2 linked regions of the Xenopus tropicalis genome follow. The protein of the gene in region 2 interacts with the protein of the main gene of each other region in a pairwise test. Links are inferred from orthologs where the notes say so. Each region holds a gene or a part of one and is shown on either strand. Other genes may lie near its edges.

Evidence for each region. The genes of interacting proteins can lie anywhere in the genome.
Region 1: the proteins of ube2k (region 2) and rnf114 interact in binary tests that used the Homo sapiens proteins (3 or more experiments, as listed by UniProt). The link is inferred for Xenopus tropicalis from reciprocal best matches to the Homo sapiens genes UBE2K and RNF114.

The regions. Positions count from the first base shown.
Region 1 is NC_030686.2:36,174,160-36,178,248, reverse strand, and holds the start of rnf114 (E3 ubiquitin-protein ligase RNF114), read right to left. Parts: upstream 2,811-4,089; 5' UTR 2,769-2,810; coding exon 2,644-2,768; intron 1-2,643. UniProt on the Homo sapiens protein: E3 ubiquitin-protein ligase that promotes the ubiquitination of various substrates. In turn, participates in the regulation of many biological processes including cell cycle, apoptosis, osteoclastogenesis as well as innate or adaptive immunity.
Region 2 is NC_030677.2:36,220,724-36,224,887, reverse strand, and holds the start of ube2k (ubiquitin-conjugating enzyme E2 K), read right to left. Parts: upstream 2,812-4,164; 5' UTR 2,701-2,811; coding exon 2,638-2,700; intron 1-2,637. UniProt on the Homo sapiens protein: Accepts ubiquitin from the E1 complex and catalyzes its covalent attachment to other proteins. In vitro, in the presence or in the absence of BRCA1-BARD1 E3 ubiquitin-protein ligase complex, catalyzes the synthesis of 'Lys-48'-linked polyubiquitin chains.

The DNA of each region.
Region 1 (4,089 bases), on a different chromosome or scaffold from region 2:
TTCACAGCTTGTGTAATATATTTTAGGAAATGTGCCCTTTGCATCCATGGTCCTGGGGAGGGTAGTAATTTACCGTTTATCAAATCAGAGAAAAAAAGCCATACAGCCAATCAAAATTATTTAGATGAAATTTCCCTTTAACCCATTAAGTGCTGCCTAACTTTCAGCAAGTGAGATCCTGCACTGAATACCCTGTATTCTGGCACTCAATGTCAATATAATACTGCACACGTAGATACTACAATCTACAGACCATGAAGGGTTAATCATTACAGAAGTCCACTGCTGTTCATGCCCCAAATTTCCATTTATATCACTTTGTGTCTCAGGATGTGGGTATATATGTGGTCAGACAGCTGTTCCTCACTAGGCCAAGACACACTGTCCGCCCACACATAAAACTGCGCCACTTCCTGAAACTCTGTGACTAGTTGACAGTTAAAGGGGATATAAACCCCCAAAAAACTGAAAAGTTAAATAAAATTCCACTATACAATCATTACATATTTTTACTGATTCTAAAGTGATTTGTATCCTTTACCCAGGTAGTATCACTTTTAACACAATGTAGCCGAAGCGGTTTGGCTAGTTTAGCTATGAAAAATACTGCACGGTTGCCTTCCGCTACATTGTTCCAACCAAACACAGTGGTTCTTAAAATGAAAACTCTAAAATCATAGCTTTGTACTGTGCTTTTGTGAATTTACTGACACAAAGTGTCTGGTTTTGTAGAATGCATTAGTTATTCAAAGAATGGTGTAAAAATAAAAAAATCCACTGGAGAGCCAAATGCATTCTGTGTTGTTTATTGGTTTAGAGATGCATAGCACTCTAAATACTAAGCATCTCTAAACAACACAGAACGCATTTGGCTCTCCAGTAGATTTTTTTATTTTTACATGGTACTTATTGAAGTGAACCTGGCGAACCCTACACCACTGTTTGATTGAGCCCCTTCATTGAGTCTTACACTTTGTGCCATACAAGTTGTATTTTTCCTTTCTGCAAAGGATGGGACAGATGCAAACTGGTTTCTTTGTAACTGCCACCCTCTAAAGGGGAAGCAAACACAAATATAAACATTTTGCATAATGAAAGAAAAGGCGGCTTTCCAATATACATTTAGTAACAACTGCCAATGGTTTTAAAGTTGTGTATAAATGCAATTGCTATTAAAAGTCGTGTGTGTTTGTCCATTTGAGCACTGCTGGTTACATCTCTTGTAACAATATATCAGCAGTAAGTCCTGCATACCTCTTGGTAATAGTGAAGTGCAGGTCAAGAAAACCTTGACCCGCACCATACCTCACCTGGTTTCTCCCCTCTAAATGAAAGTGTATAAAAGTAACTAAAATATAATGTGCTGCTGCCCTGCACTGGTAAAAGTTGTGTGTTTACTTCAGAAAGTCTACTATAATTTATATAAATAAGCTGCTATGTAGCCATGAGGGCAGCCATTCAAATGAGAAAAGGCACAGGCACATAGCAGATAACAGATAAAACACTATTGTATTCTACAGAACTTATCTGCTTTGTAACCTGTGCCTTTTCTCCTTTTTTCCAGCTTGAATGGCTGCCCCCATGGCTACACAGCAGCTTATTATATAAATTATAGTAGTGTTACTGTAGCAAACACACCAGTTTTACCAGTGCAGGGCAACAGTGCATTATATTTTTATTACTTTAAAGCTCTTTCATTTTTTGGTGTTACTGTTCCTTTAACCCATGGGCTGGCCCAAGTCTGTTCAACTGGCTTCTGTTACATTGTTTCCAAATTTTAGAACCACCAGGGCAGAGAATAGAAAGGAACCAACAGACACACTTTTAAATAGCTATTACGTCTGTAATTAATGTGTATTGAAAAATTAATTTCAATTTCAATTTATTTTATTAGGCATGTACAGCATTTGGAGAAAGATTTGCATTTTAACTGGAAGTTCCTCCTATCCCTCTTCTAGTTGTTGCTTAATGACAATTCCCATCAGACTCTGCCAGCCAGCAGTGGTTGTAAAATCAGGCTACCTGCATTTTTATAGGTTAAATATACCATTGTAGCCCAAGTATTGAAATATTTTTGTTTTCCTTGATAAAAAGCCTGCTTTATGTTACTTTTGGGAACATATTCATGTAAAAAGAACTCATGCTGTGAAACTCAATATAAATTGACTTATATAAGAACACAAGCCTTGGAGAAATGTAAAGTGAAAGTGATAGTGTTGCCACAAGCAATAACTGGGTTTACTTGGAAGGGTTGAACTTGATGGACTCTGGTATTTTTTCAACCCTATGTAGCTATCTATTTAGTTTCACTTACAAATATCCCTGGTTCATGGGAGTTATATACATACAGATCTTGAGCTTGTATGCAGTCTTACTCTTGGGTCCTCATATCTTACAGAACTACAACTGACAGTAAGCCTTCGTTATATGTCAGGGGATGATGGCAGTTATAGCAACATTAGGGAAGCCGACTATAAGATACAGCTTCTACTCCCAATGGCTGCCAATGGGATTTTGGGAGTTGTAGTTTACCAGATTGACAGGTTAAAATTCCCTGATCGGCAAGTTCCCACCAGAGAAGACCCACGTATCTCCCTTGGGATCTTGTACACAGCCGCTTAGGACAGACAGTCAGGCACTTACACGTGTCCGCAGACCATTCTGATTGGGGTGTCGAAGAGATCCAGGCAGATGGGGCAGGTGTACTTGTCGAAAATGTCGTTGTCCTGGGCTCCCCCGGAGCTGGACTGCATCTGCTGCCCCGCCATCTAAGACTTCTTTCCCCTTCTTTAGTTTCTCTATCACTTCCTCAAACACCCGCGTTCCAAGCCTCGTTGTGACGCTGGTTAGTACTGTGACACGTGATCTGTGGAACCTATAGAGTCAGAGAGGGTGGGAAGAGACCTTGCTGGCGTCAGCAATCTGTTTTTCTAGTTCGCTATGGCAAATCTCTAATAAATGATTGTACCATTAGTTATGTGTCATAATACTGGTTATGAGAAGTCACTTTAGGATACAGTCTCAATGGTGGTAGTGTGTTGAGGCAGTACAGTCATTAGAGAAAAGTACTATGTATAAACATTATCTAGTATAAATAAATTTAAAGCAACTGGACTTGTTTGGTACTCATCCGAGCAGCTTCTTCAGTTCAACTGACTGGTATGGGAAGTCCTCAGCTTATATACTCTTCCACTAATCCAATCACAATGGCACTTAGTAACGCTTCAGAAAGGTGACATCTGAAACTCACAGAGGTGTGAATGCTGTGGAGTTACTTTGAAAGGATTACCAAAGTATCATGCAACTCTTCAAACAGGTGTTACTTGTTAGAGTTGCATGAATGGATGTGTGAAGAGTTCTGAAACTGCCGGGGTACAGATGTTAGAACAGCATTGTATGTAGCAGACAGATGGTGTCGAAGTCCCCCGCCTCTGTTAAGGGATGGTTTCTCCACTTTGACATGAATGGCCTCTTTTACACCTCTTTAAAACCAGCGGATGTTGCTATTTTCAAAGGAGTGTCCCTTGTCTTTTAGGTGCAGAAATACAGCAGAGTCCTGGCCTGTAGTGTTTGCCCTCCTATGCTGAGCCATTCGCTTGGAGAGCAGTTGCTTTGTTTCACCAATGTACAGGTCTGTGCACTCCTCGCTACACTGGACTGCGTATACAACATTGCTCTGTTTTTCCTTTGGTGTTGGATTCTTTGGGTGTTGCATTCATGCAACTCTAACAAGTAACACCTGTTTGAAGAGTTGCATGATACTTTGGTAATCCTTTCAAAGTAACTCCACAGCATTCACACCTCTGTGAGTTTCAGATGTCACCTTTCTGAAGAGTTACTAAGTGCCATTGTGATTGGATTAGTGGAAGAGTATATATGCTGAGGACTTCCCATACCAGTCAGTTGAACTGAAGAAGCTGCTCGGATGAGTAGTGAAACGTCTTCAATGATTACCAAACAAGTCCAGTTGCTTTAAATTTATTTATACTAGATATACCATGACCTGGATGAATGAAAATCTTCATAGACATATGTATAAACATTCTTATTCACTATGTGGCGGACCTAGTGATATGCTAACACTCCCCT
Region 2 (4,164 bases):
AAAAAATAAATAAAATTACTTTAGAGTGTTATTCCCCTTTTAATAATTTACCAAATTCCAATAAATACACCAACAATAAAGAAAATGAAAATAAAATAAGGGGATATATTTTTCTACTAAGAAGTCAAGACAGCTTTTGTGGCTGCTTGTAGCCATAGCTGGACTTATCTATTTGCACAACTTGAGCAGACCCTCGTCAAAAAAAAAAGCAATGTGTATTACTAAATATCACTTAGTATCACTGAGATATTATGTGCATTCTAATCCAACTAGCTGCACCAGGTTCAGCCTAATAAAAGGTTCAGAATTTAAGGTGTCCATACATAGGGCAAATACTGGCTGCGATTCTTGATTGAGTCAGCAGGCTACTGACCCATCTGGCAGATCAAATACATTAGCCCTATGTCCAGGGCTAGGAGCTTCTGCTGCTCATGGAGAAAGTAAAATTGCAGAAATGACCACTAAAAACCTCTGGTGAACACTGCAGCTTAAGCTAAGTGAAGACAAACGGGGTGTAGTGCTGCATGTTATGATACTTTCTAAAAATCTTTTGTGGCCCTTGCTTAACCTAAAATAAATGGAGGACAAAGAAGAAATAAGCAATTACTTTATAACATTAGAAAATGTGTATTTCTTAATATGGTGAGCGATATTACTAATCCTAATTTGTAACTGCAACAATTTTTAGATGCAGCTTCTCAATGAATGGGCAGCACGCTGTCTCAAATGAAAGTTTCTCCATAAAGTGGCAGGAGGATATGCGGCAATGCCAGCCTTTGATCTAGCGCACACGAGAAAGTTACAGTTAACAAATTTGCACTCCACTGTTTCACAGAGTTACCCAGTGATTATGACCAGAAGCCACATATTTACCAAAGATTGAATCTAGAAGTCATCATAGTCTGCAAGAGTGAAATTCTGCTACTCTTTATACATTAATATGAAACTTTAGAGGGTATATTTATCAATACATATAAATGAGTTTACACTTTGATAAATATGTTTTCACTAATTGAATAGAAATTAATATAATGAGGGAAATTTCACTGTGGCTGACTATGGCAAGCTGTAGTTTAATACTTTGATAAATATCCCCCTTTGATTTCATTTCTGAAGTTTCACTGAATGGATTTCAAGGGCCATTAATAAGGAGAGAAAAAGTTGGAAGGGAGAGCCAGAGGGAACTGCAGTCTTTTCTACACAACTGTCCTACTTTTCCATGTCTCTAATACAATCCTTTAGTACCTTCTACATGACTCTAAACACTTCTGCAGCCCCACTCTATGGCAGTCTCTAATAAACTCCTGTCAAATCGTTCCAAGGCAGTCCCTAATACACTCCCATAAAAAAAACTCCATGGCAGCCCGTGATACACTCATGTCAAACCTATCCCTATCAATCTCTAACATACTTTTGTAGTAGTGATGAGCGGGTTGACCCACAACCTGCATTTTACCCTTAGGTCAGGCAGGTTAGGGTTGGGGGGTGTTGTGGGTTCAGGTTGGGTGTGGGTCAGACTAGGGAAGCACCTCTGCTCCTGAACTTTCCCTTCCTTGGAACCTAAGGCGAGAGCAGCAAACAATGTAGAAAGACGCAAGTACGTGTTTTAAATGCAAATCCTATATCGGCAACAATTTGTGGGATACGGTCAGTTGCAGGTTGACTTTTTCCTGACCCCCACACCACTATCTTGTAGTCTCTTCTGCAGTCCCTTTCCATGGCAGTCTCTACACAATCCTGTAGTCTCTTGATGGCAGTTTCCAATTCACTCCTATAGTACCTTTCCACGGCAGTCTCTAATACACTTCTGTAATTCTCCTCCAAAGCAGTCTCTAATACACTTCTGCAGTCCCTCTCCAAGGCAGTCCCTAATACACTTCTGCAGTCCGTCTCCAAGGCAGTCCCTAATACACTTCTGCAGTCCGTCTCCAAGGCAGTCCCTAATACACTTCTGCAGTCCCTCTCCAAGGCAGTCCCTAATACACTTCTGCAGTCCCTCTCCAAGGCAGTCCCTAATACACTTCTGCAGTCCCTCTCCAAGGCAGTCCCTAATACACTTCTGCAGTCCCTCTCCAAGGCAGTCCCTAATACACTTCTGCAGTCCGTCTCCAAGGCAGTCTCTAATACACTTCTGCAGTCCCTCTCCAAGGCAGTCCCTAATACACTTCTGCAGTCCGTCTCCAAGGCAGTCTCTAATACACTTCTGCAGTCCCTCTCCAAGGCAGTCTCTAATACACTTCTGCAGTCCCTCTCCAAGGCAGTCCCTAATACACTTCTGCAGTCCGTCTCCAAGGCAGTCTCTAATACACTTCTGCAGTCCCTCTCCAAGGCAGTCTCTAATACACTTCTGCAGTCCCTCTCCAAGGCAGTCTCTAATACACTTCTGCAGTCCCTCTCCAAGGCAGTCTCTAATACACTTCTGCAGTCCCTCTCCAAGGCAGTCTCTAATACAGTCAAGTAGTCCCTCTCCCTATCAGTCTCTAATACACTCCAATAGTCCCTCCCCATGGCATGCCTGGCTGTGGCAGCCTTCTATACTACCTCTTTAGAGCAGTTTACTGGATTTATCTTAAGCACACTGTCACCAATTGTTGCCCCTCATTGTATATAGCCAGACGCACTTCTGTCTCCTCTCACCTCTTCGCTTTTGAGCACCTCCTTGAACTCCCTTTTGATCCTCTGTGCTGCGATGTTCGCCATAATTGCCCCAGTTTCCGTACTTGACTGAGTCACCTTAAATTGCTGCAGTGCACGTTAAGTACGCCAGGCTTCCTCCCTCCGTGCAGTGCCGGCCCTGTGTGCTCTGCCTCCCCCGCCCCGCACAACGAAACCTAGCACAACAGTACACTGCAAAATGGCGAACCTGACACATGCGCAATACAAGAGTCTGGGCGGCCCACAGGAAGAACTTCCTGACAGGGTCCCTGCTCACGTCACTTTGGCCCGCCCCACAAATGAGACGTAACAGCGCGCCACAGAATCCCCGGGCTCCATTCATGCAGGGCTCAGTCACGTGATGTGTCACTGGACCCCAGCGCTAAACAGAAGAGTCGTGCAGTGTTGTAAAGTTTGGCTTTAGCAGCAGATTTCTATGAAACCAAAGGTCGTAGCCTGCCAGAGCTATGCAATTCTTATTAGAGGATGGGCTGACTACCTGCCCCTAGTAAGCATTTGTCTCAGCAAAATAGATATGCCACAACATGCATTAGTCACCTGACTCGTATTGGAAATCCAGAAGTTCCTGCTTAGTCTGCTGTATGGGAACTTTTTGTTCTCTTCCTTTTCAAAAGTCCTATGACTGGTCATGACCTACATCTGTTATCTAGAAAAAAAATAAAGCAGGGGCATAACTACAAAGGAGGCAGACCATGTGGTTGCAGGGGGGCCCTGGAGTGTAGAGGGCCCAGTAAGGGCCATGACACATAGGGAGATTAGTTGCACCACAACAAATGCCATCCCGTGGCATACACGGCACTGCGATATGCCGAAGTCACCGACATTTCCTCTCAAGGCGACTTTGGCAAATGGCGGCGCTGCGTATGCCATCCTACCGCTGATTTACATTGTAGCCGGTGGGATGGCATTGCGGGGAGATTAGTCGCCCGCAACAACAGAGATTTGTCATGGCAGCTCTAATCTCCCTGTATGTCACGGCCCTGAATAGTGAGCAGTTTTACTATATCTTGATAGGATAGGTCAATTTACCAACGATTTGGGCCCCTAAATTGAATTCTTTTGGGACAAGTGACATCTATTCATGCCACTGGTTGTGTGCATTTTCCTAAGCAGAGATGCTATCTGGATAATATAGCAAAGGCCAGCCAGTTAAATGATACATGCCACTACAGTTATTAAAGGACAAGGAAAGGCTAATACCTTGGGTGGTGCCAGTTACTTAAAATAAATGCACCACCAGAGATACCTTGTGCCTCGATTTGAATTCTATATCTGTATATCCATAGTTCAGTTAATTTTCTGGCTTAAAGGGGTGCTGCTCATCCCAAAAGAAATTACCTTTAAATAGTAACACCTTTTACAATGTGTCATTATGGCTTAATTTTGGCGGAAAATTAAAAGCCACCATTCTTAATTTAAAAGGTATTTTCAAATGCTTTAGAGACTTGGGACTGATTATGTGACATAAAGTCTTTATGATACCATAGC